Drosophila melanogaster: one gene and its partners. The protein of the gene in region 3 interacts with the protein of the main gene of each other region in a pairwise test. Each region holds a gene or a part of one and is shown on either strand. Other genes may lie near its edges. The genes, in order: Flad1, Lamtor4, CG14641 and CG46385.

Region 1 (8,068 bases), on a different chromosome or scaffold from region 3:
CATGCACTCAATCTCGAAGAGCTCGCGCAGGCAGAGCTTCAGCACGGATGCGGCTATGTGGCGGCGATGCTCGTAGCTGGAAGTGAATTTTCAATGAAGCCCATTGATTACTATATGCATGTGCGTTTGCATCATTAGCTTACCTCAGATCGAAACACTTATCGAGCGGCACACCGGGCACCAGTTCGGTGGTCAGAACGCTGGACGTGGTCAGATCGCGCACCACACGCGGTACATAGTACTCGGGATAGGGCGCGATCATTTCGCGAAACTTCTCCGTGTATTCCGCCTCGCGATCATAGTCCACCTCCCATTGCAACTCACGTTTGGCCACGCGCACCACATTGTCGATGAAGAAACCCTGTGGAAAGACATCCCACACCTTCAGCATGCCCACCAAATTGTCAATGTCGCTCTCGATGCTCTGGGCGACACCGGGATATTGGATCTTAATGGCCACATCCATGCCATCGCTCAGCGTTGCCCGATGCACCTGGCCAATGGAGGCAGCCGCAAAGGGTTTGTCCTCGAAACTCTTGAGACGCTGTCGCCAATCGGCACCCAATTGGGTGTTCATCACGCGTTCGACCTGCCAATCGGGCATATAGTCCGCCGCCTGACGCACCCGCTCAAACGCCTTGGCCAGTTGCGGCGACACAACGCTGGAATCTTGTATGCTCAGGATTTGTCCGATCTTCAGGGCAGCTCCTCTCACCTTGCATAGCGTGTCCACGATGCGTTCAGCATTGGCGGGACTGAGCAACGCCTCTCGCATGCTGGTCGAACCGCCCAGGCCGAGTGCACCCTTGGTCAGCTCGTTGAGGGTTCCCAGGCCCAGGCCGGCGAACAGGCCGCCAAAGGAGGCCATTCTGCCTATCCGGGAGGAGGGAACCTTGCGCTGTTTGGCCACCTTGCTCAGTTCGGGCACTTCAATGGCCGGCTGGTCGGACTTCTTCTTCGGCTGCGCATCTGGTGGCTGCTCCTCCACCTTGGCGCCCGCCACAAACCGCAGCACATTGTTTACATACTCCGTGTCCTGGGTAATGATGCCCGGATTGGTTGACGTTTCTTTTTTGGGCATGGTCTGGTTGCTTTTGGTTGCCGGGGTGCGCAAGCTAACACTACGATCTTTGTTCCGGCGCGAGAGTATCTCCTCGAACTCCTGCAGCGTTATGGATGATATATCCAAGTTGGCGGCGTCCCAACTTGCTGGATTTTGTGCCGTGGGTGTGGATTTACGAATTGAGGAGACTTGTGCAGGCTCAGAGATGGCCGATTCCTCGCGGGACATCTTGATTTTCGTCTCCAGCAGCGAGCAAATACCTTTGGCCACCACGTAGCCCCTTTCGCCCGTTTCTTTTACAGTTTGCTGCAGTTTTTTCAGCTCCTCGGTGGGATTTTGACTGGAACTTCTCACCAGCTGCTGTGTGTGCGCCACATTCTCGGCGATTAGCTCACGAATGCTTGAATTGCTCCACAGATGACGACCGTGGGCGAGATGCTCGCGCCCACACGCCTCCAACAAGATCCGCAGTCCCCGCAGCAGCGCCGCAGCTTCTTGTGCGGATCGCGACATCGCGGAGCGAGGAAATACTGGTTTATTGTGCACTGCTCTCGCGTGGGTGATTCGCTGGTGATGATCGGCGCGTAGGATTACGTAAATCTCGTAAAAATATCACAGCAAAAAAAGTTCAAAGAATCGCGTAATGTTGTGAAAATGCGGCGAAAATCAGCTGGCAAAACAGCTGACTGGCCATCTAGTGCTGCCATGCTGGCGTTTTAACAGTGGCACCATGGCATCTTGAGCTTTTTCTAGCTTTTAAAAGCCAGCTTGCTGCAGCACTAGATTTTGCACTGAAGCCAGTGCTGTTTCTTTGGCTCTTTTAGCTTGCTTCAGCTTTTATGCAAAATTAGAAAGAAACATTCAACAACTAAACAACTAAAAATTTAAATACTCCATAAAAACTAGGAATACTGCTTAAGTGGCCTGCTAACAGAGGCCACATTTATTCAGCGGCATACCTTAGGTCGTACAAAATTTTACTAAATTAAGTTTGTTTACCGAAATCCAGATCACACGTTAATATATATACACAGCTATATAAAGTTTCGTGACTAACTGGAGTTTAAGCTATTCAATTACACTATAGCCACGCAAATGGAATCCTACTTCCTGGGCAGGCGACCAGCACGCTCCATGGTGGCATCCTGGAGCTCCCAGGCGGGCCGATAGCCACCCAGATCGCAGGAGCAGACGGCATCGGAATTAGAACCACATTCACACTCGGCATCGGTGCGTCGGAGGTGCGGATTAGGCACTGTGTTCGCACGATTCCCGATCGAGGTGTAGCCCCGATCGTACAGGCTGCAATAGGGCACCGAGTTCAAGTGGATGTAGTGCCAGACGTCGTGGTAGCTCCACTCCAGCAGCGGATTCAGGCGCATCATCGGCGGCCAGTCGTTGTCCGTGGGCTAAAAAAAAAATCGAAATTAGCATCACTAGGCACTTGGGGTTTCCTAATAGGAAACAGCAGTTTCGAACTTTCCAAAACTATTTCAAGCTAGCTTCATTATTATCTTTGTGATCTTGTGAGATTTTCAAATAAGCGGGATACATTTGGTTTTGTAAAATACTCGAATAAATTCTATGTTAGGTGGTGAACCACAGAACTCGCTTATCTGCGGAATGGAATCATGACATTCGAAAATGCCACTGTCACTGTGATATTGGCAAAGGGCACATACTTTTCTAGATTAACAATGGCATAATTTTGATACTAAGGCTGTGACTTTGATAACTTGGCTTTATAATCAATCTACTACTCTTGAGAAAGAAACTTTTCTTCACACTTGAACCTACGAACTCCTGAGCATTTCAGTGCAAAACATTTAAATATGATTTATCTCCTGATTGCTATATTCCTAACCAGCTTCACCTGCATGGGCGCCAGATGCTGGCAGTAGGGATCCGTGTTGCGGCTGCCCACGAAGACGGCCTTGATCCGCGGCATGTCCGACGACATGTGGGTGAGTGCCTCCTTGAGCGTACCCTCGTACTGAACCAACTGGACGCGGTAGTTGCGTACGCAACGCTCGACGAACTCATCGATTTCCGGAAACGAATCGCCGGATTTAATGTACAGCATGGGAATGTCGCCGCTGGAGATGTTCTCCTGGCGCAGGTAACGCATAAGGAGATCGAGCAGCACGGTGCAATCCTTGCCGCCGTTGAAACAGAAAATTAGCTCCTCGACGCCGTAGATTTGCAGGGTTTCGGCGAAGAAGGCGAACGCTTTATTTTGCCGCTCCTCAATGGCCAGTCGATCCTCGGCTGTTAGTTCCATTGGATTTGATATATCCTGTCCCTTTGCCACATCCTTGGAGTTCTCCGAACGATCCGACATGCTCCGTTTCTCTAGAAACAAATGCTTTTTGCTAATGCTCTTTGCGCATAGAATGCTGTTGTTCGCTGTAATGTTTGTGATGTTTGTGATGTTCTTCCGGCATTCGTTCATGGTGCTCAGTGGGCGTAATGTTTGTGGGAGGCGTGGCCGTGCCCTGGCTAGCAAAAACGATGACGTCACACGCTGTTAAAGTCAAAAGAGCAACTATTAGCACTCAATAAATAAAACATAAAAAAAACTTTCGCCGAAAAATATCTTTTTTTTGCGTGTGTGTGTGTGTGTGTAAGTATTTACTTTATGTAATTTTCTAGGCCCATAAACAAACTTTAACTGTGCGATGAGCGTGGTAAATGCTTCGGCGGTTGACGTGCGAGTGAGTTGGCTTATTTGTGGCCAGCCAAAAATTACATCACTTTCGTATCGGAAAAGTCAGCAAAAACAAAAAAAAAGTGATATAAAGCCAAAACCTCAGGCCCTCACACGCACACGCACACACACGCATGCAGGCCAAACACATGGCGCACGCACACACGCGCATAGCTCACCCAATAGCTCATGTGTTTCGTTGCTGCATCGACTGTTTACTGGCGCACATTTAACTGATGAGTTACGGCGACAGCAATGCAATTATTCCATTTTGTTAATTGTTATTCCGCGCCAGTGATTTTCCTTCCTTTTTTCGTCTTTTTAGTGCAACAACAAGCGAACGGCGACAACAACAACAACAAAGCCAGGAAGCTTTGCGTACTATCGGTGCATCAGCTGTGCGCTGAATCTATCGATTGCACTCGATTAAGGCGGTTGGCTAGCTAGAAATTCAAAAAAAAAGCTAGAAATTTATACATTAAATAATTTTGAAAGTTTCGTTTTGATTTTAATCCGCAATTTCGCATATCGCCAGCAAATGCGACATATATACGCAAATTTTGTTTCTGTTCCGTCTGAAGTAAAATAAAATGTTCGTAGTTTAAATGTTTTATTCGACAATAACAAATTCGTGTTTGTGTGTGTGCTTAACAACAACAATAAAAAGCGTAATTAAAGTACGCTCTACACATCTAATAAATGGGCACTGTTGGCGTTTTCTATCAACTGGGTGTGTTTTCTTCGATTCTTGTGGCTTTTTTTCTTCACGGAGAGAAAATATCACATAACTGGTGATTTCATCCTGTTCCACTGGGCGCTTTACAAATTTCGATGCAGTGCATATAAACTTCGATATAAATTTCATGTACGTTCACACTTAACTTAGACATAAATATTTAAAAACTAAGTTCATTGTCTAAAAGTTAGCAATATGATGGCCAGAATGAAATCTGAAAGTGGTGAAAATGTTGGTTTTGAAATAATGTTGCATTTGGTATGTAGAATATTTCCGCACAATCATTCAAAATATGCATCTCTTGTGTGTGGTAATTTTGATAGAGCCGTTTACAAATCGTAATTTTCATCGCTGAAACGTAAGCATCTTCGGTTTTTTTTCCGTGTACAAATTAGACATCCTTGTTATCCAGAATATCGTCGATGAGTCCGACGACCTTCTGTCGAAACTTTCGATTCTGCTTGCCGTTCATCTCCTTGATGTACGGATGCAGGCTGATCAGAAAGGAGTAGTCGGCATCCGGTTGTGAGCCACCTCCTCCTGGTCCGCCAGTGAAAACACTTAGAGCTGACGTAGCCGGCTGCGGCGGCGGTGGTGGTGATGTTGGTGTTGTTGTTGTTGTGGTTAACTTGTGATGACCGCTGCCATGTCCCTTGAACCACTGCGTCAGATCCGACCAGCCCAGGTGATTGCCCAGCGCGGCGGCGGGCACCGAGACCAGCGACTGCTGGCTCACCATCCGCTCCAGCTGCTGGTTCGCATTTGACGAATCGTGCTCCACTTTGATGGAATGCAGGCGGAGCGGCAAACAGGCGGTGGGTTGCTCCCGATCCTGTTCCTGATTACGACGATGCTCCTCCTCGGACACCTGAACGTCCAGCGGCATCTCACCATCGCTCACCTTGGCCTCCTCCTCCGCCGCCACCACCTCATCTTCCTGCTGAGCAGTGGCAGCTTGGCCGGGTTTGCGGAGCACCATGCCCGGCAGCTGCTTGTGGCAGGATCGCGACTTGGTGAACGGAACGAGAAACTGAAGATACTTCGATAGGTAGTATTTGCGCTTGCCGCGTCCCGTTTGTGTGCGTGCCAGCTTCAGGGATCGCAGGAAGCTGCTCCTTATGGTGCGCCATCGCTCGCGACAGTTGCGAACTGCAGGAGAAACAAAACACATCTTTTACAGTACAAATTTCTACGGTACAAATTGAAACTTGTTCACCAAAAGGTAACCACAGTACTGAGTTGATTTGCACATCAAACTCAATTCTTGGATTTATACTTGTTTGTAACATGGAATATTTTGTAGTTTAAATACTTTTATTTTGTATTTATTTTGAATTTATTATGGGAATTTAGTTGTACGAATAGTACTTGGTTTTTTTCCAGTGCACCTTGGCTGAGTGCAGCAACAGTAAACGAAAAGCGAAACGCAAAAGCAGCAACAAATTGCAGGCAAAAACTGCGCGACACAGTGACACACCTACACCAATGCAAAGCCAGGCAAATGGAAAACAACAACAAGTGCATTCGTTTCGCACACCAATTCGCGAAAGCTTGCATCATAGACACACACACGCACAGACACACACACACACACACAGGCGCGCGCGCACACGGACAGTGAAATGAGCACGCAATTGGCGGCGAAGAAGAAGAAGAGGAAGAAGCAGCAGCTTGAGGCGGAAAATCGCCGTTGCCTTTTGCCGATTTATTTTTTACCGCCTTTTTACCCGTGTCCTTGATATCGTTGGCAACCTGCTGCCACGCCCTCTGCACATCCTCCTTCTTGCTGTAGCCCGGATGCGTGTAGTTCCACAGGCACGGCTGATTCTCCACGAACTGCACGAACCGCACATTGAAAACGGGATCGTCCTTGCGCGCCATTGCGACCCAGCACATGCCTCTGTCTGTCTCGCTCGCTCGCACACGCACGCACGCCGCCAACTAGAACGGTGAATCGCACATGCAGTTATTCCAGGAGCGCTGCTCTGCAGACGGTGCAGATGGCGGGGGGCGCGAACGAAAAGAGGCAAAACAAAACAAAGGGGGCGACACAGAAAAAAAGGGGAGGGGGCGCGGCAATAGAATTGCAAGTGCAAGTGCAACTGCTCGCAGCAAACGCGCAACCAAAACTGCGCGCAAATTGCAAATTGCAAACTGCAAATAGCAAATAGCAACAAAAGCTGCAGCGCAAACACTTTATGCTGGCACAAAACAGCAGCAACAACAAGTGGCAATCGCTGAGTCTCACGAACAGCGAATACCCTACACCGCTGAAAGGCAGCAAGATCTACACTGAAACATAATTAGCAGGATATTGCAATGGAGCACATCTGAATAAATCGAATGTAAAGGTGTACAGAGCAGCATCTATATACACTAACCAGAAATAATATATTTATATTGATATTTATTCGCCGAATAATGAAATTTCCCAAAGATAATCAAAAGATCACACAATTTTTCATACTATTTACTAATCCTATAAACTCAAGGTGATCGTAATCGAAGTGTTTATTTCTCTTTAATTGTATTTTTTGCACATTTCAACGGTTACTAAAATTATATCGACAACTTTGCGACTATTTCGATATACCCCGATGACTCCGCGATTACCGCATATCGAAAAACTCAACGGCGAACAACAGCTGCAATAAAATTGTATAAGCTAAGCAATTCAAATGCCGCACTTGCAACGCTTGTGTGTGTGCAGGCGCTTCTGTGTGTGTGCGTGTGTGATTAAAGCTTTGGCGATGACGTCACACGCTGCATTTGTTGCATGCGATGCTAAAGTGATGAAGACAAAAGCAATCAAAGACAAAACGCAAATTAGGCTAAAATGTTTGAGCTTGTAGAAATTAAGCTGAATGGTGTACGTGCAGCTAAATTCCAAGATCGTTTAATGCATGATCATATAATATAGTGTTTATTTAATTAAATTTACTAAAAACTGGGCGGAAATGATTAATTTTCCTCAGTTTTAGAAAAAAGTAGATAAATTCGCTAAGCAATAGGCCATTTAAGCCATGTTTCGAAATAAAATCAAATTTAACCTGATGTTAATTAATTAACTAATTAAATATTTGACTGTTGTCATTGCACCTAATTTTTTGACTATTTACATTTTTAAATATTTTTTAGCTTGAAAATCGGTGCTTTGTACAAAACGAAGTCGATAGCTTCTAGCCAAGTTAAGTAATCGAAACAATTATCGCTACCATTTGCGCATCACTAACCAGCCAGTGCATATGTAACAACTATTTTTTGTATTTCTTGGGAAATCTGTTAGTTTTTAGCCAAAAAACATGGCAACAAGCGCCAAACTGATGCTAGGCAGCGGCCTCTGCCAAAAGCTAAGCCAGGTGAGCAGATAAACCAAAGGATTCCAGTAAAAAATCACCTAAAATCTGTTTTTATTTCACGCAGCTTACCAGGCAAATACACATGCAACCGGCACTTATGTCCAGTTTTCGTTCATCCCGCGAAGTTCAGGAGCTGGACAAGTATCCTGAAGTGGAGGTGGTGGCCAATCCGCCCGAGTGGCGTTTTGTGGAGCGCTTGCTAC
Region 2 (6,546 bases), on a different chromosome or scaffold from region 3:
GAGCTGATCCCCAGATACCAGATCCGCCAGCATCCCAGTCGATCCTCGCCAGGTTACCAGAAGTTTTCGGAGCTTCGAGCTCGTAGAAAAACAATCAATTAGGCCCAAAAGTAGCTTCCAACTCCAAGGGAGCGCCATAAGTTTCCGTCTCCCCCCAAGATCATGATGGTGATGATGGGGCTTCGGATGGTTAGGATGGTCCGGATGGCTGGCATGTTGCCCAGTGGCATCGACACGACTTTGATTCTCTTTCCGCGCCGACTGGCAGGAGTTTTATGGCCTGCTTTGGCGAAATTTATGTTACATTTTTATAGTTCCAGTGTAAATTGACTTTTAAAATGCAAAAATTTATCATAGCAACGGGCTGCAGTATGCAGGGGGAAGTCCCGCGCCAACTTTAATTGCCTGCGCCCCGCAAGACGGTGGCAACTCTGGCGGAAGCTTCGAAAAGTCAAAAGAAAGCTCTGTGAATGGGACGATAAACATCTGCGCGGTTTCAAGAGGAAAACAACCCCCAAAATTGTTCGCCAAGGCTTTATTTATTGGAGAACGTTTAGATACTCTAAATCATAATTAATGATTGTAATATTTTACTAAGAAAACGATATACAACTTTAAAAAAGGAGATTCACAAGCTAGCTTGGCTATTTTAATCAACGTTTGGTCGGGGTCACCAATTGAAAGTCATTACTGAATATAAAGCTATTAAGCCATAAATTTAAAAAAAATATTTGGTTAGTCTAAGAATACTTTGATTTTTGAATTATCCTTACATGTACATATATTGTATAAACCACACGCTTTAGATAGCCAAAAAACTCAACGGCAGAGTATGAAACAAAACACAGTCGTAAAAGCTTTTCGCCGAGTCAAAACATTTTGCGGACCTTGGCACTCAACGTTGTTTTATCCATATAGTTTTTTTGATTAATTCGCTAGTGCAGTTTACGCCCCAAACCACAGGAAAAAGCTCCGGAAAAGTTTGGGTCGCGTGGGTGTTGCCCCTCCACCTTTTCGCGAGGTCTCCAAGTTCAATTGCATGACGAAACAGCCGCGGAACAGTTGCGTCGCTCCTTGATTAGCTGAATAAGCGGGAAAAATCCATAAATTGATTAAGTAAAACTCGGAAAACTAAAGTGAAATGCTGCTGCCAACGGTCAGCGGCCAATCCGCCGCAGGATGCAAATGGAAAAACTGCTGTCGCCGCAGCTGGGAAATGCTGATGGCGCCCGTATCGCCCAAGAACCTCAGGACCACGGCGCTCTTGACGAGCATCTACCAGTTGGTAAGTTCAAACATACATGTATATATAGTAGCGGATTATATAAGAGACTGGAGAATGGATATCTCAGGCGGGGCGCAGCGCACTGGCACGCAGGGAGATCCGGGAATCCCCGAGCAATCCACAATGTGCAGCCGCGGCCCCAAATACAAAAATTACGCACTGGATATGCAAAGCCATACCCCACTGGGCGCGCAAGGAGGCGTCGAAGGCGGCAATGGAACGCTCGCCCCCGCCTATCCCCGGAGAAGTCCAGGGGCGGAGCGAAGGAGACGCTCCTGCGGCGCAATGCGTCCGCACTTGAGTTTCGTGATCGGAAACGTGCCAGGACGAGCACCCTTTTTAAAGCTCTTCTCCTGAAATATATTGGGAGTTGTTGCGAAAGCTCCTAGAACCAGTTGGGAATTGTAGAAGCAGCTTTCTGGCTTCGTTCAGTTTGGTGAAAAATAAGGGTGGTAGCTTCAGCAGATCGCTGGGTTGTTCCGGTTTTCGCAAACACTTTTTGTTAAGTGAGATCCTAAACAGTCGCTTTTCTATATTCCCCAGTTAATCTCCCACTGCGCCCTTTTCCTGGTTCTCCTGGGACTGGCGCATGCCGAACAGATGTGCGAGGTGCTGGAGCTGGACATCTTGGACCAGAAGGACAATGGTTTCTACAACATGTCGCCCTTTCACAACGATCTTCGCCTGCAAACCGCTGCCCAATTGGCCGTCGCCACGGAGAATCTGCTCTACGTGATGGCTGGTATCGCGGGTACCTACGCCCTGAGTGCCATATTCCTGTTTTTCGGAGTCTTCAAAAATCGGCCGGGCCTAATCATACCCTGGCTGGTTGTGGAGTTCCTATTAATGATTGGTTTGGGGGCACTGGTCTTCATGCTGAGGGATACAAAAATCGTGCAATTGCTGGGTGGTCAAGTGCCCTACTGTAAGTTTGGATTTTTAGGCTTAAATTTTGAAGTAAATAATAACGAATTATCTTATATTTCAGTTATCATTTGCTACATCTTGATCTGCATGGATTACTGCAAGTGGTATGTGATGCATAGCTTCTACCAGAGTCTACGCACCATGAATAAGCTTCGAGAGATTGCCACTGTGGCCATACCATGTCCAGCTCCAGGAGCCGTAAGTTGGTATCAATATTTTGAAAACTTTAATAGTAACTTTCTTATACATTAGATACCCTATCGTTTCCAACGCGAGCACATGTATCTGGGCAGCAATGGATATAAGCACATTCTAACCGAGTCTCCCGATGGACAGTGTTAAACATGTACTGAAAGATTGGATATTTTTGGAACTTCCCATCAGGTGTCTTGATTGCAATTGCACTGCAAATTCTGTATTGCAAAACAGAGTGTGATATGGTTTTGGTAGAGATACTATTTTATATAGCCAACGGACATGGAGCGGCTTATTAGAAATGCAGAATCGGTTCAAAGCGTTCGGCGATTAAACTATAAACTATTTTTGTGTAGAAATAGCTCCCAAAGCACCTTAAAAAATAAAAAAAATAATAATAATATTTGGTCACTAACGCGACTCGAACTCGGAACTTCGAAGCGAAGGTCGCACTCTCTAACCCCTAGGCTACGGCAGCGAAACTCTCGGGATAGCCGAGATTGATTAAGCCCCAAAATCTTGAAACGAAAAACTTGTCTTAAATAAATTGGCGTTCATACAAATATGTATTGTAGCAACGAATTTTTTAAAGCTTAGTTTCTCAGTAGATTTACCACTACTTAACTATAATATGCCTTAAATTCTGTTGACTAGCAATATTTTAGGTATTTCTATTTTGTGGCACAGAACGAATATCAAATAAAAGTGCAAAATTGTAACATATCTAATGAACGTGTTTTTTATTATTTCCACACTTACTAATTTAATGTACATCAAGTTAGAAAAATGTTTGGAATATTCAGTTTTGGGTGCTTTTATTATTTGGCCTCAGCTACAGATGCACATTATCTAATAATATCTTTCTTGTCTTAGGATTATTTGTTCCACTAGCCTTTCCGGCCCTTTAGCTTCATAATTGGCGGTGGCAAAGTGGTTCCTACAGTGGTGGTGCTCAGAGTGCTGGCTCCCATTAGACTCATATCGTTATCCAGGCTGTCCATTACAAAGTCCACTACGGTTATATTGTTAGCGCCTTCAGAATCCCCCTTATCTGTGGGGATACTGATCTGAAACTGCAGCAAAACCACCAGATAAGTGACCATTGTGGTTAAGAGTCCTTTAAAGAGAGTCCTGTTCACATCAAAAAAGCCACCGCAGTTGATGGTCGATGGATTCATTTCGGTGGCTCGCAAAAACATATTTATCTCCGTCTGGGCATCCGAGTTCATCCAGTTAAGCTCCACCATGAGTAGTTTCTTCTGGAAATTGGTTCGCACATTAACCGAGGCATAATGTGCCTCATCGCAAATATAGAAGAGCAGTCCTATGTTCCACAAAGCCGTGATAGTCAGTCCTATGTCCTTGATGCCAAATCCCTCGGAGAGTTGCGACATTAGTCCATAAATCGAAAGGGTAATGATGAAGAACAAGTAGAGGCTCATGAAAACAAAGGTGTAGCACAGGGCATTTCCAGTATCACGGGTCAACTTGCTCAGTCGTAGCCACAGAACACGGTAGTCTGCCACCATGGCAGCGGGTCCAATGTGTTTCAGTGCCTTCTGGAACCGCTCCGCCAGAAGATGAGCCGTAATGCTCATGGCCTCGCAGATGAGGAACCACCAGGCACCCAGCATTGCAGTCAAGTTGTCCAGGATGCAGTAGGGCACCACCTGGTTAATGTTCAAATCCGACATGGTGACGTGCGTGATGACCACCGATAAAACCGAGAGAATTGGCAGCACGATGGCTATGTACACCGCCTTCTGTCGCAATTTCAGAGGCAAACTGTGCCCGGATATCTGGTAGTACAACACCTCAAAGTCATCCCAATCATTGAAGAGCTTTGCTATCTTCCTGGCCTCGTACCACAATATTGGTATAATCATAATGGGCAGGATGTTGACCAGAAAGAGGTATGCAATAACCGCCTCCTCGAAGGGTCCACTCAGGGAGCGCACAATGTGGATGCGGTTGTTGGCCACATAGCCTACATAGCACTGTAAAGCGGTTTTGGGTTACATAATGGTATCCATAGTCAATTTTGAAAAATGTTATGCAAACACCACACTCACCGCCAGGAGCACAAAGAAAACCACCGAGTAAATAAAGGAGGCGGAGTTCATTTCGAACTTGGCACGAGCAGGACCATGTCGCACGATGGGTAATACTCCAATAATCCTCAAGAACCAATTGATGGGATCTATGTTTCGGTAGAAAACACTCTGAAAGCAGCGAAATTCAGTTTTACAAAAATGGTTTTAACAGCGTAGCAATCCACAAACCGGCTTAAATTCCGGATTATTGGACGCCGTGCTGTCCGAGCTCTTTTTCCTATCCAACGGAGGAGCTTCGTAATCCGCATCCAATCGCTCCGCCAATCCAATGGAGTACTTGCGGACCCCGTACAAGTATGCCTGGGCATTAGCACTGTTCAGCGGTTTTGCATTGAGGAACACCGCGTCACCCTTCTTGCGTCGATAGTAGTTGGCCATTCCGGAGAGACTGTGTCCGGAATTTCCTTGTCCGTGGCCTTTTACCACTTTTTCGCCAGACGGACGCATTAGCCATGCACCTGCACACGCCCCCTTATCGACCACGCCCTCTGTTGACTTAGAGCCGGAGTTTTAGTTTCCTGTTGATGTGCGTTGTTTGTCTTTTGAATGAATTAACCTTAGCCCGGTGTCCCAATTTCGAATTTGTGTCAATGGCGCGCATGTGGCAATTTACAACACTGAAACCGGGCTGCCAGGCTACCGATTTGGTATCTAAATGGATCTAGTCCGGTCACACTGGTGGGTGTGGGTGCGAAAGATAAATAAATAAATATGTTGAAAATGGACAGGGAAAAGTTGATTGTGCCCAATCAAATTGGCTATCTGATACTAAAGGAAGATGGAGCAGTTCTGGAGTCCGGCGGAGATCTGAAGAACGATGAGCGCAGTGCAAATGTGATAATGGGATTACTAAATCTCACAGAGACGTGCGTTTTTAAACAAAGGATGAAGGAATTTTGTAATAATTACGCCTATATTGTAGCATCGACGAGTCCTTCATGCCGAGCAGCAGCTGCGAGAGGATCACCATCGATTACGAGCATCACTACTACAGCATCTGCATGTCCAACCGTAGAATATACATCATTAAGATCAGCAAATCGCAGAATGGCGTCACCACGACCACGAGCTCCTCCTCGTCGAACAGCGTGTATAACGATGCCAGCGATTCCGGGGCAGTGCTGGCTTGAAATCCGTCGTCGGATGTCCGACCCACTTGCAGATTCTGTTGGCAAGCAACCGGACAAAGACCCCACAATTGGCGCACTCCCATTATTTACCTAATCCTCCTCTTTATTTGTCAAAAAATACATCATCTGTGAGCTCTTGCTCGAAAATGCGCCTCGCTTCCTGGGTGACGTCCAGCAAGGTGGCCTTGCTATTGCACAGGATCACATAGTACTGCCTGTAGTTACAGCGCCGCTTCACAATCCAATAGTCATTGGTGGTCTTGACCTGAACTTCCTCGGCAGGAGCACTCTCCATTTCCGCCTTGCCACTGCCATTGGCCAAGTCCGCAATGATACTAAGCACATTGCGGGGCAGCCCTTGGGGCAGGTGCCTCTGAAAGTTCGTGTGGTGCTGCAGGCTTTGTTCGTTAATGAACAAGTACTTCGGCGCCGTTTCGCTGTTCCCGCTGGAGTTGTCCTGGCCTGCAGCACCCACCGCCTCCTTTGTCAACTCGCTGGATATGTCCCGGGCCAACGAAGTCAGTTGGGGAGCCATGTAGGCATGGAGATCGTCGTAGAGATCTTGTTTCGGCGCAACCTGGTCAGCTGACAAATGTGGAATGTTTCAAGTTGATTATTTTGGCTATTTAGTTCTAATCCTTAACATACCATTCAGAAACAGACACAGAGTTATGTGCAAAGCGCGGTAGATGAGCAAGTAGTAGGGTTTGGCCTCCTTGTCCAGTGTCACATAGACCTTCATTGGATGATCTTCCTCATTCACAGCGTCATGTTCATCTCCTGCGACCTTCTGACGACTTCTTACGAATCCGCCCACCTGGCATTCACTTATGCTTCGCTTTAGTGAAGGAGAAACTGCAATGGTGGAACTGCTGGCCTCGACTTTCAGCACGTG
Region 3 (7,507 bases):
GTCAAATCGCTTTGCTATATCGCCCAGACTCTTTAGCAGCTCCTTGCTGCAGCTAAGGGCAAAGCGGGGCGTAATCGTTGGCATCACCATCGGGCTGCCGAGCTTCCGCACGCCCTCCACGAAAGCCAGGGTTGCACTGACCGACTCTTCCGCAGTCTCCCTGTGCAGAGCAACAACATTGAGTTGACCAGACCAAATCCGTCACGCTCTGTACTTACACGTAAAACTCGGGGCTGTTGCAGTTGGAGCAGACCTTGCCTATCAGTGCCCGCTGGCCTTGACGCACCGCCTCCCGCGCCAAGGTCAGCGTTGACTCCAGATGGTTGGTGGCGAAATAGGACGCCAGAGTGGTTCCGCACCGCAGTGTTGCTTCCTGGGGTGTAATATTATCATTATCAGCTAATAAAAATAGACGGCCGGTGCGACCCATCGATAAGACGTTTGTGTGCTCCCAAGTACTACTTACGACCACACCCTGGTAGACCTGCTGGGCGTATTGGTGGTTGGAAAACTTCGCCTCCAGCGGGAAAGTGTATGTGTTCAACCAGTCCAGAAGAGGCATGTCTAGTCCCAGTCCCAGTTGCGCAAACTGCGGGGCGTGTATGTGGCAGTCGACGAAGCCCGGCATGAGGAACTGGTAGTCCGACAGGTGAACCTCGGTCAGACCCTTGGCGTGGGCCGGATTGCTGCTTGCCCACGCATGGTAGTCTTGTCCCACTCCTATTATCTGTGAGCGAAATTGTTCATTGCTCATTGTTTTGTTCTGGGCATTAAATTGCCTACCTTGCCAGCGTCGTCCACTGCCAGGAATCCTCCTTCAAAGGACTCAAACTCGCTGAACGACTTGGTGTGCACGACAGTTCCAAGAAACACGGTTGCCATTGCTCTGATTTACTATCAGCGGGCTTAAACGTGCTGTACGACAGACTTGAGAATGTAATGATCAAGATCCGCTGAACAAGTTTTAAAACTCTCGCCTAGGTGCACGCGTCGCCCTGCGAATGTGCGCATAATCATACGGGGATGACACTTACTTTTTATTTCAAGGTTTAAATCGCTGGAAAGATTATTCCCAATCGTTTGGTCGTTACTTTAAATATTATTACTTATTACTGTTTTAATAAGCGATCGCTTGCACACGTGTGATTTATCGGTAAAAACTACAAAACAAGCAATAATTAACTTCAAAATAGCTGTTGCAAAACCATTAATTGTAAAATTGTATATTGGAATGAATATTGAAAAAACATAGAATACATTAATCATATGTTTAGCTAAGACAAAACCCCCTTTCTGGAAGTAAAGAAGAGTAAGAGTGACGGGTAAAAGAAATATAGCCATTATATAATTTACAGTTAGTCTAAGATTTCATTAGAATAAACATATTTGCACTGCTCGCACCTGTACATATGTAACCTTTACCTACCCTGTAGTCCCACAATTCATCGCTATTAAAAAATATTACATCATCTCTCTCTTAAAATTTTAAAGCGATGCTAATGTTCTTAATCATAACGAGGAATAAGCGATGATTTTGAAAACAAATTCATCGCTTTTTAATTTCTAACCGAAGGTCTCAGTATGCGATTTTTTATTTAATTGCAAATTTAAATTTAAATTTTAAATTTGTAATGTACATAGAACATGTTTGCAGATCACTTGCCTATAGACTTTTGTGAGAAGTAGACGCGATTTTGAGTGCTTGTTTTAAAAAAAAATTGTAAATATTTTGGAATTTAATTCAATAATAATTACAGGTAATGGATTTATTTTACAATAAGCAACAAACACTACTCACAGAAACGATAATTTAAGGTAAATTGGTTTAACTCGTTTTTGTATACATAATTATACATTATTTTACCTTAAGGTAAATCGGACATGTGAACTGAAAAGAAGCTGGTCCTAACTCCGTAGGACAGGACGCCAAAGACTCTGGAATTTCACATACATATATATGTATTTGTATTCTTAAATTTAAATCCTATGCATAATTTAAATAAGTCTAATTAAGAAAATACATTTTTATTAATAAATGACTGAAATTTCACTTTTTCATTAAAATTGATAGAGGATTAAGTGAATAAAAAGAGGTGTAGAGAGATGAATTGAGCTATCATTTATAGCGCTTATGCGTGATTTTGATTTTGCGCTATGCGATGATTTCCTAGAACATAGGTTCAGGTCATGGTTTTTTTTTTTAATACAAATTAACCTGTGATTAATTTGATCGAGATTTTTAATGATCAGTAATGAGCTGATGAAATCTGAATGAATGGAATGCAGGGAGGTAGTCATAATCCCAATGTTAAGTTCCCCTATAAATACTGAAGAATGAACTTACATATGTACATGTGCATTGGTGTACTTTTTTTAATCCCAAATATCGTCCAAATCAAAGAAAAGCATTTATTAAAGGTAAAAACGAGTGACGAACGCACATCAACATACATATGTACAAAAGTTTTGATATAAGCTTTTGTGACGAAAATTTGTTCTTTTTTTCTTTTTTTTTTTAGAGTTTAAATCATTTATTATTATCTTCTCCTCTCTAATTGTTTGGTGTTTTTTCTTAACAATTCGAATCGAAAACAATTTCGTCCATACGGATAAATTCTATTAATATTAAGTCATTTTTATGGAACTGACCACTTTAAAAAGTTTGTATTTAATTTTATAAAAATGATTTATTGAATTGGAACCATTGTAGACCACAGGGTTTTCCTACTTTTTAACAGCTCCCATCCGACTGGCGTCCTGACTTGGATACGGTACTTGACCCGGTGGCGGAGGAATCGATATGGAATCCAAATTGACACCCGAGGAAGAAAGGGCTGTGGAAGTGGCGTTTCCGTAGGGAGCTGCATAAGTAGGCTGACCATACATTTGGTAAGCCGACGCCGGAACTAGATTTGATGGCAACTGATGCAGCTTCATGCCGGCGGGCATGACATTGATTTGCTCTTGGCGAAGATTGAAGTAGTCGTTGGGCTTCGCGCTAGGCGGTGGAATGCCGGCCAAGTCGAAGCGTCTGTCTGTCTTTGCAGCGGTGCCCTGCTTTGCCTGAGAGTGAGCCCACTTAATGCTCACCTTCCGGCCCTGGATCACCAGTTTATTAAAGGTCCGCTCAGCAGCCAGCTCGGCAGCGTTTCTTTTGGTGTATTGCACAAAAGCGCACTGCTGGCGTGGCACCAGCGCAATTGATCGAATTTCGCCGAACTGGTAGAACTGATCTCGCAGCTCGGGTTCCGTGATTTCTTCAGGAAGGTTCCCCACATAGAGAGTTGTGATGTTGCGGTCCTCCGGCGGCTCGAGTGTGGGAAGCGAGGCTGCACGCTTCATGATCTTCTCGGCCACAGGATCGTTGCGTCCGTAGTACCTGTCCTTGATGTTTTGCTCACATAGCGGATCGTCCGGCTCGTTGGGCTTGTCGTGGCGGTATGGGCACTCCTCTCCACGCTTGCACTCGCCCTTAACCCAAAAGGAGCAGATGTGCGGCCGATTTCTTTTGTAATAGGGTGCTGTGCGCGCAAGCTTGGACAACATCTCGTTGGCGGCGAGGGATCGACCGACAGCTCCTGCCGCCTCCGTGCCATCTCCGTCCTGCAGCTGGGCGTCTATGTTTTGGATGTAGTATTCCTTGTTAACGTCGCTTTGTGGCATATTGTCAGCCACTTTGAGCGCCGCATCTCGTACTTGAATCGGCAGTCCGTACTCCAGGTCCAAGAGGCAGGTCTGACACACGTTCTTCAGGCGCGCACACGTTTGACATATCTCCGTCTTTTTGAAGCGCATACGAGCACCAGGACACCATCGAAATATTGTGAATGGACGCGTGCATATCTTGCATTCCTTGCCGAACCGCTCTTTAATCATCCGCACGTACGGATTGTCGCCAAGGCAAGTTTGGCACAGAATTGGGAATTCAGCATCTTCCCAGTTCTGCCGGTTATAGGTGTTAGTCGTTTTTGACATAGACATAGCAGCGGCACTTATGTACCTTGCACTTAAAATCCGAGCTAAATTTAGACAATGCTCATTCGCTTTCTACTTGTCGAAAATGGTGGTGTGTCGCGAGTGATATACCAATATCGATAAGTTGAGCCAGAAGCAGACAGTTAGTTCAAAGTCAGCAATCGATATAATTTATTGAATTTAATAGCATATTCACACTGCTTAGAATATATATCTATACCCAAATGCACACAAAAATATATTGCATTCGACTGATCCGAAACCGATCAATACGATATTCTACTATTCTGTACTATTCATGTTCGCTAACCGTTTAACAGAAATGTTCCTGAAACACTTTTGATAGCACGCATAAGTTCATATAAAATGTTTCTGGGCGATTTACACAGAGTTTTTGGCACTTTTAATTCCGATGTTCGCAGTTACGTATTCACTGCGCTCTGACCACTTATGTTATTCAATTAATTATCATTATTTACGAACAGCACTTTTGGCCCTGCTTTAAATATATTTACTAAGTATTTTTACCTGCCTGTTATATTTCACCAACAGTATGGCAACCTTCGCGCTAAAAGTTGCATTTTTCACGTTGCTTGGTTTTCACAAAAAAAGAAAGACTCAATCTCAAACTCAGAAAACCAGAGCACCTAAAAACGAAATCGAAAGATTTTGCCCAAATTGAAAAAAAAACTATTATCCGGTCTGCATGCCATGAATATATCATAAGCAAGAAGCTGTCAGTGGAATCACTGTTTAATAACTGTAATCGATACCCATTAGAATATAGTATTTTTCGGGCTCGCCTAATTTAAAACGTCGTACGGTGGCCTTTGTTGTAGTCAAATTAGGCGAAAACGAAACAAACAAAAATCAGAAATATAGATCGAATGCTATGGCGCACGTAAAGCGGTATCGGAGGTCGTCTAAGTCCTCGGAGGAAGGCGACCTGGACAACGAGGACTACGTGCCATACGTACCGGTGAAGGAGCGGAAGAAGCAGCACATGATAAAGCTGGGCAGGATCGTGCAACTGGTTTCGGAAACGGCCCAGCCCAAGTCGTCAAGCGAGAATGAGAATGAAGACGACTCGCAGGGTGCGCACGATGTCGAGACCTGGGGACGCAAGTACAACATTAGTCTGCTGGACCAGCACACAGAACTGAAGAAAATTGCCGAGGCCAAAAAGTTGAGTGCCGTCGAAAAGCAGCTGCGAGAGGAGGAAAAGATTATGGAGAGCATTGCTCAGCAGAAGGCCCTTATGGGTGTGGCAGAGTTGGCGAAGGGGATTCAGTACGAGCAGCCTATTAAAACAGCTTGGAAACCGCCGCGTTACATTCGGGAAATGTCGGAGGAAGAGCGCGAGGCCGTTCGCCACGAGTTGAGGATCCTAGTGGAGGGAGAAACCCCCAGCCCGCCAATTCGCAGCTTCCGGGAAATGAAGTTCCCTAAAGGTATACTTAACGGCTTAGCGGCCAAAGGCATTAAGAACCCGACCCCAATCCAAGTGCAAGGCCTGCCCACTGTACTAGCCGGCCGCGACCTAATTGGAATAGCCTTCACTGGGTCTGGAAAAACGCTTGTCTTCGTGCTGCCAGTCATCATGTTTGCCCTGGAACAGGAGTATAGTCTGCCTTTTGAGCGTAACGAGGGCCCCTACGGCCTGATCATTTGCCCGTCCCGCGAACTGGCCAAGCAAACACACGAGATAATTCAACACTACAGCAAGCACCTCCAGGCATGCGGAATGCCTGAGATTCGTTCCTGCCTGGCCATGGGTGGTTTGCCGGTCAGCGAGGCCCTTGACGTCATCTCACGCGGCGTACATATTGTGGTGGCGACCCCTGGTCGTCTAATGGATATGCTGGACAAGAAGATCCTTACGCTGGACATGTGCCGGTACTTGTGCATGGACGAGGCTGACCGCATGATTGACATGGGATTTGAAGAGGACGTTCGTACGATATTCTCTTTCTTCAAAGGCCAGCGACAGACACTTTTATTCTCTGCCACCATGCCAAAAAAGATCCAGAACTTTGCTCGATCAGCTCTCGTGAAGCCTGTCACAATAAATGTGGGTCGCGCAGGTGCTGCGTCAATGAACGTCACCCAACAGGTTGAGTACGTTAAGCAAGAGGCAAAGGTGGTATATTTGCTGGACTGCCTACAGAAGACCGCGCCGCCCGTGCTCATTTTTGCTGAGAAGAAGCAGGATGTAGACTGCATACATGAGTATCTGCTGTTGAAAGGCGTGGAGGCGGTGGCTATTCACGGCGGAAAGGATCAGGAAGAACGATCGCGGGCAGTCGATGCTTACCGCGTGGGCAAAAAAGATGTGCTGGTGGCCACCGACGTGGCATCGAAGGGCCTGGACTTCCCTAACGTGCAACACGTTATTAACTACGACATGCCGGACGATATTGAAAACTATGTGCATCGTATTGGCCGCACAGGTCGTTCCAACACTAAGGGATTGGCTACGACGCTGATAAACAAGACTACCGAGCAGTCGGTTCTGCTCGACCTGAAGCACCTGCTAATCGAGGGCAAGCAAGAGGTCCCGGACTTCTTGGACGAACTGGCACCTGAGACCGAACACCAGCACCTGGACCTGGGTGACTCGCATGGCTGCACCTACTGTGGTGGTCTGGGCCATCGCATCACGGAGTGCCCAAAACTTGAGGCTGTTCAGAACAAGCAAGCTTCAAACATAGGACGTCGCGACTACCTATCTAACACCGCTGCGGATTACTAAACCACTACCACCACCAAATTAAAATAGTAATAAATAGATTAGTATACATACATACTTTTCTGGGAACTTTTAAATTTATTTTCACTCTGTTTTAAGTTCAGTTTGCTGCTTATCGCACGAAGCTTTGCTTATCAATCGTCCCAGCAACCCCAGAGAGCGATCTCGGCCGGACGCGCGCGCGTTTCGGGCTTAAGAAAAATATTATAAAAGCGAAGACGAGCTTTGGCTTTCGTTTAGTGTCTGAGGCAGAGCTCTGCATGCTTGTCGTTCGAAGCGCTTTTATTCAATCATCGCACTGGGATCGTGAGAAATTGCGCAGATCGTATTGACTTACAAGTAAGTGTGCCCCAAAAATTAAATGATGTTTTATCAGCAATATGTAATAACATCGCCCAGAATAGTAGGTTACTCTAGTATAAAGTAAAATTCAGACTAGCCTAAATGATTTCAATTGAAGGCTGATTATATAGACATTAACAACTTTCAAAGCTATTATTTTGCTGAGTTCATTTCGTTAAATTGGTCGTTGATTTGTCTTATCTACTGCTTTGAAAACAATCATCGGAACTGAGGTCGGTTTTATATTAGATAAGCCACTAGCTTTTTACCAAGCTGTGTGTTCTTGAAAAAATAAATTCATAACACTGTATAATATGATCAAATTAAATTGATGGTACCTACAAAATTTGGTTAATTTATCTCCGTTAAATTATCCCCAACTTCATTGGCATTTGGATTGGATTTGAATAATTGGATACACATTTGAATGTTTAAATGTTA
Region 4 (8,316 bases), on a different chromosome or scaffold from region 3:
AAAAGTCAGAGACGTCAGCGGGAAATTTGCATAAAATACCTGAGTCGCGAGTTCGAGATTCGAACTTCTGGCAGAGATTTGGTTACCATATTAGGGGGGATGTCTTGAGTTGTTGGGCCAGAATATACATATATACATACATACATAAGCGGACAGCGATTAAGAGTGACGGAGATTCAAGGCGAGACATCGGTATTTCCGTATATTAGCATCGCATTCGCCTCTCTCGATTGCACAAAATCGCTGCCGACAAAATGCCGCTGTCGGCCAGGGCGTATACGTAATATTCTGCCAAGTGCATAACCGTAAATAGCAAACAAAAAGAATATACTACTCGTACAAAGGGAGGAGATAACAAACTGCAAAACAATTGCAAAAAATAAAAAAAAGCCCACAAATCAGGGTGAGAAGTCTTAGATTGTTCGCCTCAAGTTGTGCAGTATAGTTTGGGCTCCATTTCGCAACTCCCGAAATGAAATCAGCTTATCAAAAATATATGGATGACTAAGCACTTGCCTTGCTGCCTCTTTTCCCTTATCAAAGTTCTTGTTTGTGTGCCATTAATTATGGCTGCTTCCTTCGGTAGCCGCTAGAAGCTGATTAGAGCGCAAACTTCTCGAAAGGTGTCAACAGTTCACGTATGGAAAGTTACGAAAGTTTGGGGGCCATTATTAGTTTTAAGTCTATCCATTCCATCAATATGTACTCCCAAGCATCTCTAATGCCTAATGGTGACCGTCTAGCCGAACTATAAATGCAATGCGCATTACCTTATCAAAATCATACCATTTGCACTTGAAAATCACAACTAAGTTCGAAGATATTCTATAAATAACTACATTTTATCATATTTCAATGTGCATTTTTCTGTGGTATTTCCTGTTCTAAACCCATAATTGAGTACTTTCGTTTTCAGAATATATTGTGATATAAATCAATAAATTTTCCAAGAAATGCGGTGATTTCTTTCCACGTTTTTCCCCGAGTCAAAGGTTCTGTCGTTTTTTTTTTTTTTGGGCTTAAGCTAAGATCTACTATTCAAGTTCACCACCTAGCCTGCAGGTTTTCAAACTCTATATTCTAAAGATAGCAGATAGCAGATACACTAAAGTCAAACTGCCAACTGTGCCAATAAATAAGTTCGTCAACGCAAATAAACAGCACACACCCCGCCCATCGAATAATAAATAACTTAAACTTACTTCTAGACAATATCTGTGCTAACCGTTCTGGACTCACCTGCATTATGGGATACGCGAGACGTCCTTTGCCGAGCCGCTCTATGATCGTCAGCTTGGTGGTGCTGGCCATGACTCCGGCGATGTTGGAGGAGGACAGGACCGGACGCGGCGGTGGGACGATGGGCACAAAGTCACGATTCCTTTCGGCGAAGCTGCGATCGAACGAGTTGCGTCGGTCGCTGTGGGAGCGTCTATAGGCCACGTGGTTGCCATTACCACCGCCAGCGGTATTGGGCGCCCGACCCGCTTGATGGCCATTTTGTGAGCTGTTGTACTGGGATACGCCCATGTAGGACTTGGACTTGCGATACTGCTTGGCGGAGTAGACAACCGGCTCCGGGTAATGGAGATCGCTGTGATTGCTGGCGGTCTCCGATCCGGAACTGGTTGACGACGACGAAAAGGAGGAGGCAGAAGCGGAAGAGCTGGATGCGGATGCGGGGACTGTGGATGCGGTTACGGCGGTGGTCAGGCCGGAGATCATCGATGGCTTGGAGCATTTGGCACAGGGCACGGCCAAGGCGGCTGTCAGCAGTTCAGCGGGATTAATTTTTCCCACTCCACTGTCCAATGTTGCCAATGTGTCCGAGATGTTGCTGCTGTTGCTGCTCATGTTGCTGCTGCTCTTGCTGCTCATGTTGCTGCTGTTGCTGTTTATGTCGATGCTGTTCCTGAAGCTGTTGCTTCTGTAGTTGCTGCTGTCGCGTGGCAGCGACTGTAGGAATATCTGTTGGCGTTGCGGCTTCGCTTTCTTGCCGCTGCGCTGCGACTGCTGCTGATTTCCTTTGCCTGCATTCTTTTTGTTGTTGCCGCTGTTGTTATTGCTGTTAGGCTTTGTGGATTGGCCCTTGTTTGTTTTGTTGTTGTTGTAGTTGTTGTTGTTGCTAAGTTTGCTGCTGTTTTCAATGTTGCTGCTATTCTTGCCCGCCGCCGGCAACATTGCCTCTTGCTGCCTCTCCTTGTCCTTGTCCGCCTTCTTGTTTACCATTTTTGGATTGCCCCTGTTAACTGTTATCCGTGCTGCGCTTCTACAGTTCCGTTAGTTCTCTGCGTTCTACGTTCCGTGCGCAATTGGCTTTTGGATCGTGCTTGCGCTTGTGTTTTGTTGTTGTCGCTCTTGTCTCCGCTTATCTGGCCCTCTCACTCGCGCTCGCGCATTCGCTCTCGTTTTCGTTGAGCTTTTTTTGTGTTTTTAGTTTGTGGTGCCACGTTTTGTTGTTGGCGCGCTGCGATATTATATTTTGTATATTTCGCTTACGTTCTTTTTATTTTTATATTAAATGAGCTTTTGTTGTACACCTTTTGAAATGTTTTTAATCACGAAATTCACGAATGTTGTTTCTCACTTGCTAACACTTTTTTTTAACTGCGTCTTTTCGGCGAAATTGCTGTTCTTCGTTTTGCTACCCCTTTTGGTTTGGATGACATTTACCGCAAGATAAGCAAGTGAGAGAGGGAGAGAGCGGCAGCGATCACCATGTAAAGAGAGAAAAGAGAAAGGGGAAGAAACAAAATTAGTTATTGGTTATTTGCTTTCTCGAACAATTGTTTTCGCCATTCCGTTCGAGACTTTGCTTATTTGTACTAAATGCATTTGATTTATTTTAATGAAGCCAAAATCACTTATGAAAGCGTATTCCTCACATGTGCCCATCCACCCCTTTTTTTTGTGAGTCTTTATCACACATTTTGTTTTTGATTAACTGCTGTGGGTTCCTAAAGGAGCTAAAAGTATAAAAGTCTCCACCATTTTCAAACGCGCAATTCGTATTACTTATTTCTTGCGTTCATTCGAAAAAGCAAAAACAAAAAGCCGAAAAATAGCGCATAATATATAAAAACATGTACATACATACGTACATATGTATGTACATATGCCGTTGTGCCATGTTTGTTGGTATGTAAATGCTTGCCATTTGGTTCTCCCTCTTTTGATCCCTCCATCTCATTCTATCCCCCAGACCGATGATGTAAGTTTTCGTATCGGAATGCTTTATTTTTTCCCCTTGCTCTTCCTTTCGACACCGAGTCGCCGAGTAAATGTGTGATGATTGCTAAACTGACCACAAGATCAATAACTTTGACTCCCCATAAACTGCTAAGATTGCTCATTAAACTCTTTAAAAGTGCGCGAAATCCGTCTAAATATTTTATACTCTTTAAATCGCCTTAAGTTCAAAATTCGCTAGCATCTACTGAAGTTTATCAGTAGCAATAGGATATGGATATATGTAAGTATGTAAATTGTATGTACAAATGGGTCAGAACCAATCCAATGAATTTATGAGAATAGTTACGATACCCTCTGTAAGGGTATAGAAATAAAACAGTTCTCGGGCTACTCTTATTGTTATTTACCAGACTTTATGACTCAATCGCAATGAGAGAAATTCAAACTGATCTCTTTCAAATCAGTTAAGTGCTTTTCCAGAATTATCGAACACTAACCGTTCTTGAACCCAAAAGTGATGGATGAACGTAAGAACGACGATAATTATTCTTGTCTAACGAGCTAACATATTAGTTTTTGTGTCAAATAAATACTAATAACAACATTTGGGGTTCCCACGTGCGTTAAATTGCATTGTTATTGAACTTTTGCCCACAGCAAGTGTTCTACGAAGTTTATTTATTCAAGAGAGTACAAACGTTTTATATTTAAATGTAAGAAAAAGATTGATTAAATTGTTTATTTTAAGAACAACAAAAATGCACCAAATATACAAATTGATGTTTCATCTTTAAATGCAAAATTTTGGTTTCGAATTCTAGTTTTAAGTTATTTTTTTTGCATTAAGTATGTATGTACATATGTACTCAAAATATGTACTGCAATGAAAATATAGGAAACCAAACCACTTTGAGAGGATTTCGGGTTGAATAATATCTGAAGGTGTTTTCATCTACATATTGTACATACATACATATCTACACCGACAAAAAATAGCGAAACCGGAAATGCCAGATGCCAAGACTAACCGAGACCCAAAAGTGATGAGCAGGGGGGTGGAAGGGGAAGATGGAGGGAAAGGTGTATGCTGTGGTGTGTGCCTAGATTGTTATCCGCATTTCTGGTTTGCTTTTCATTATAGGCAGAACAGAATACAACACCATGCGGCACGATGCGATCTGCGAATACCCCGGACCCTGAGAATCGGCGCTGCAGTCACGTAGACCCACTAATTGAGCGAGATCAATAACGGTGATTGTGTGTGCACCTATATGCATATATATGTACGAATGTATTTACCTGAACAATTCGGACAGCTCGTGCCTAGTCGCGCATTATCCAAAATTACGCAGAACGGCTTCGGGTTCCGCCGCCGGGTGCTCCTTCTTCGTAGGGTTAAAACCGAACAGAATCCTAGCTAAAGTGGGGCACGGATTGCTGAATTTCCAAAGTATCGCTATCGGCGGTGGTCTATCGGTATCGGTATGCTAACGACGACGGGCAGCAGGGTGTGGGGGGAGTTTACCGTTCCGGCGAACCGCTGGCAGAGCGCCTTAAACTAAAGTCGAAGGGCGGGCCAGGATGGCGATCGGTGAATCCGGTATTCGGTTTTGATTTTGGATTACTACGGCAAGGTAACAAGCCAAAACTTTCGGTTTTCTCTGCGCACAGATTCTGACAGCTTACACCCCAATTGCTCGGTTACCGTTACTTTTCGTCTTACGATACCGTTGCACTGCACACACTGAGGGACACTTACGCACAAACACAAACACACGCGTTCGCTCACTCAACTTCCAACTTTGTGATTTGCGATTTTCGATTTGGAATTTGATTTTTGATTTGGAATTATTTCAATTTCACTTTTTCGCTCGCCTGTTGCCGTATTTGCTTCGTTGCTTTCGGACCACGCGTTTCGATCGTTTCGTTTTGCGGAAGCTTGCCCAAAAGCTTCGAGAATGTGGTTTTTCGATTTAACAGCAAAAAGGGCTGAACAAAGTTGCACTTGCACCTGCCTAAAAAGAGCGATATTCCGGTTGGATTATGGGAATTTTTAGTTTGTGCAAGTTTAACTGAACTCCTGGTGAGTTGCTAAAGTCAATATTCTGTCTAACGGCTGCTCTGCGTTCGATCGGATCTCGGTGGGCACTGTACAGCTCCCTGTGTTTGGTCTACTTGAGTGTCGAACATGTGACGAGCAACTGATGGCGCTGGCCTGCTCCATTGGTCCGCCGGCCAGGCGAAGACGCGCGACGGCGGCAGCGGTACAGTGGGTACAGTAAGGCCTGCCTAAAAGTACTTTCACTTAGAAAGGGCACTCATTGAAATCACTGGCCATTTGTTTTAAATAAAAAGTGGCTAAAACACATACATATGTATATTTTTATTTCACAGCTATTGGGTTCAGAAAAATAAGAGTTATTATTCGATTCCATTAATAGGTTAATTTTCAACGTTCTTAAAGTCTAATCTCTATTAACGTTCGATACATTTTACGCTAGTTGAATACAAAACCATAAACAAGACATTCGGCACCGTTCATTGTATAATTAACATTAGTAAATAATGGTTTGTCACTATCTGGAAGTTTCTAGAGTTTAAATACGTTTTCATACCTTAAGTTTTATGTACACGCCATTTTGTAAGAGGATTATGTACGTGATTAACTGCATATCATATAAATCTTATTCTCGTCGACGTTCCACTGTAGTGAGTGTGGGCAAAGCGGAGGCGCCGACAATTCTAGAGAGTGCCATCGAAAAGTTCGCGAAACGGAATTAGCAACAACAATTAAGTCGGAAATGAGCAGCTCGCTGTCTCTCTCGCTCTCTGACCATACTAAGCTCCCCCTCTTTAAATACTCGAAACCATCCATGTCTTTCTACCTTCGGCGAAGAAAAGCTTTTAGAGCTTTTGAGTAGTAGGTCCAGCCGGAATGTCCAACGTTTGGTCAGGTCTCGCATCTGCAAGGTAGAGAAAAAAGAATGAAATATAATTTGAAACTATATAAATTCTAGTTCCAAAAACCCACCTCCACATAATTGTACATGGCCAGGTCGCAAATGGCGAAGGCGTCCTGCCAGCGGGATTCGGTGAACAGGGCCAACGTCTCGTCCAGTGGCAGCTGCTTGGCCAAAATGTCGGTGAGCAGCGTGACATCCTCCATTCCAGCATTCATACCCTGGCCGTAGTACGGAACCATCGCATGGGCGGCATCGCCCAGGATCAGTGCCTTATCCGCATAATGATACGGCCGGCACTTGATGGACACCAGAAACTGTGGCCTGGTCTTGAAGAAGTCCTTTATGAGCTGTTGCTCTCCAATCAGTGGCAGTGCGTCCCGGAAGTTCAGCTTAAAGAATTCCAGGAGATCGTTTTGATTCTGAATGCCAGCGAAGATCTCAAAGGGCATGGACAGCGTGACCGTGAAAGACTTATCCTGATTCGGCAGGGCAATCATCATGAAGGTGTTACGCGGCCATATGTGCAGATAGTTGGCAGGCATCTGGAAGTCTCCCGATTTCGAGGGTATGCAGAGCTCCAGATACCCCGTTTCTATGTACTCCTGGGAGTAGTTGAAGCCCGGCAAACGGACCAAGTGCTGGCGCACACTACTGAAGGCACCATCGCAGCCGACTATAAGATCAGCATGGGCAGCTACGGCTTCCTTGGCGGGATTGCGGAACTCCATGGATCCCTCTCGCAGATTGGCACTTGTCAGCTTGTGCTCGAAGTGGCAGCGTATATTGGGCAGCTTATCGCAGGCATTCAAAAGGACTTCGTTCAGCTGTCGACGTCCCACGGAGTACAGGCATTGATTGTTAATGGGATCGTATAGGACCACACTGGAGTTTCCTCGCACATCGTGGAGCATTCTGCCTCGCATGGGTATGGCGGTGGCCAGCACCTCTTGCTCCAGACCCACGGCGGCCAGCGCCTTACGGCCACGCTGCGAAAGAGCCAGGTTAATACTCCTGCCCTGAACCACTAGGGCCTCGCGGATATCCTCCCGGTACTCGTACAAATCCACGTGGTTGCCCATGCGGGCAAAGTTCAAGGCTGCCAGAGAACCCACCTAGTGTTATGGAGAATAAGATGCGTAGAAAGCGTGATAAGAGCCTTATATCTGGAAGCAGGGATTTAAAAACACTAAAGATAACGCATCTAACTACATATGTGAAGACACATCAAAATGCAGCATAATTTAAAGATTACTTAGGAATGATTCGAAAAGAATTCGAATTCTATAATTCTACTACTATGATGTGTATTTTAGCAAATTAGCAAAGCTTAGTTTTAGATATTATGAAGCTTAACTAGAATTATTGCCTGTTTATAACCGTACTACGGTCTACTCTAAATATAGACTATATATTATTTTGTTAATGATTAACACTAAATTTCATTCGCTATATTTATAGACCCACAATCTATTTATGCTTTCGCAGAGTAATAATTGTATACTTCAAATAACTTTGTTACACTCACAAGTCCTGCTCCAATAACCGCCACCCGGCGCCGTCGTCCATGTCTCTCGTCCCTCGCAGCTTCTGTTGGCTCCTGGCGGCCGTTTACCTCCTGGCTAACGATTCCTGGGCTCATGACCGTTCTGCTGGCTCGTTGGCAGCGAAATGAAGATGGAATCGAGATGGAAGCCAGGCAACTGGCTGGGGAAATGTTTAACCAAGAGATTATGTCAGATGGGCAGTAAATGGTATCTATGGTTGTTTGATGTTGCTGCGGGAAGCCAACGAAATGCAGCGGCGTAGCCACAAACATTTGTCTTGGGGTAACTTTCCTAAGTTGGGCTGCAGAAAATGAAGATTTTACACCTGATACTTGATTCGTTGAGAAGCATGTGTAACCATTTGAAGCGATTGTCCGTATAAACATCCCGATCAACAAATAAAAAACTATATAAGCTAGAGGGTATGTACATAGATTCTACGCTATGTAAGATTGGCACGCCCACTCTATAATTCACAAACCTTTCAAAACTGTTACGCGCACACTTTCGAAAAGTGTTTTGATATTATTTTGTATCAGTAGTATTTCAAACGAATGTTTCAAATATTGACCTGCGTTTCCTCGTGTTTACTTGTTAAATAAGCTAAGTTAACTAAG

What was found.
Region 1: the proteins of CG14641 (region 3) and Flad1 interact in a two-hybrid assay, tested with the Drosophila melanogaster proteins (one large-scale study listed by BioGRID).
Region 2: the proteins of CG14641 (region 3) and Lamtor4 interact in a two-hybrid assay, tested with the Drosophila melanogaster proteins (one large-scale study listed by BioGRID).
Region 4: the proteins of CG14641 (region 3) and CG46385 interact in a two-hybrid assay, tested with the Drosophila melanogaster proteins (one large-scale study listed by BioGRID).

Annotation. Positions count from the first base shown.
Region 1 is NC_004354.4:12,899,380-12,907,447, forward strand, and holds Flad1 (flavin adenine dinucleotide synthetase 1), read right to left. Parts: upstream 4,138-8,068; 5' UTR 3,962-4,137; coding exon 3,950-3,961; intron 3,784-3,949; exon of another isoform or gene 3,699-3,783; intron 3,588-3,698; coding exon 2,937-3,587; intron 2,473-2,936; coding exon 2,167-2,472; 3' UTR 1,974-2,166; downstream 1-1,973. Other genes in the region: Coq8 (coenzyme Q8), read right to left, coding at 1-76, 144-1,576; CG4404 (uncharacterized protein), read right to left, coding at 4,898-5,655, 6,234-6,402; mRpL49 (mitochondrial ribosomal protein L49), read left to right, coding at 7,809-7,865, 7,930-8,068.
Region 2 is NT_037436.4:3,891,705-3,898,250, forward strand, and holds Lamtor4 (late endosomal/lysosomal adaptor, MAPK and MTOR activator 4), read left to right. Parts: upstream 1-5,195; 5' UTR 5,196-5,232; coding exon 5,233-5,387; intron 5,388-5,443; coding exon 5,444-5,651; downstream 5,652-6,546. Other genes in the region: Fie (fire exit), read left to right, coding at 1,142-1,285, 1,829-2,210, 2,274-2,410, 2,465-2,554; Gr63a (gustatory receptor 63a), read right to left, coding at 3,295-4,404, 4,480-4,629, 4,690-4,899; Ccz1 (Caffeine, calcium, zinc sensitivity 1), read right to left, coding at 5,755-6,236, 6,300-6,546. UniProt on the Drosophila melanogaster protein: Regulator of the TOR pathway, a signaling cascade that promotes cell growth in response to growth factors, energy levels, and amino acids. As part of the Ragulator complex, may activate the TOR signaling cascade in response to amino acids.
Region 3 is NT_033777.3:4,228,262-4,235,768, forward strand, and holds CG14641 (uncharacterized protein), read right to left. Parts: upstream 4,082-7,507; 5' UTR 3,982-4,081; coding exon 2,725-3,981; 3' UTR 2,518-2,724; downstream 1-2,517. Other genes in the region: DhpD (dihydropterin deaminase), read right to left, coding at 1-160, 219-373, 467-727, 784-882; abs (abstrakt), read left to right, coding at 4,868-6,727.
Region 4 is NT_033778.4:7,777,236-7,785,551, forward strand, and holds the start of CG46385 (uncharacterized protein), read right to left. Parts: upstream 5,403-8,316; 5' UTR 4,492-5,402; intron 2,651-4,491; 5' UTR 2,230-2,650; coding exon 1,240-2,229; intron 1-1,239.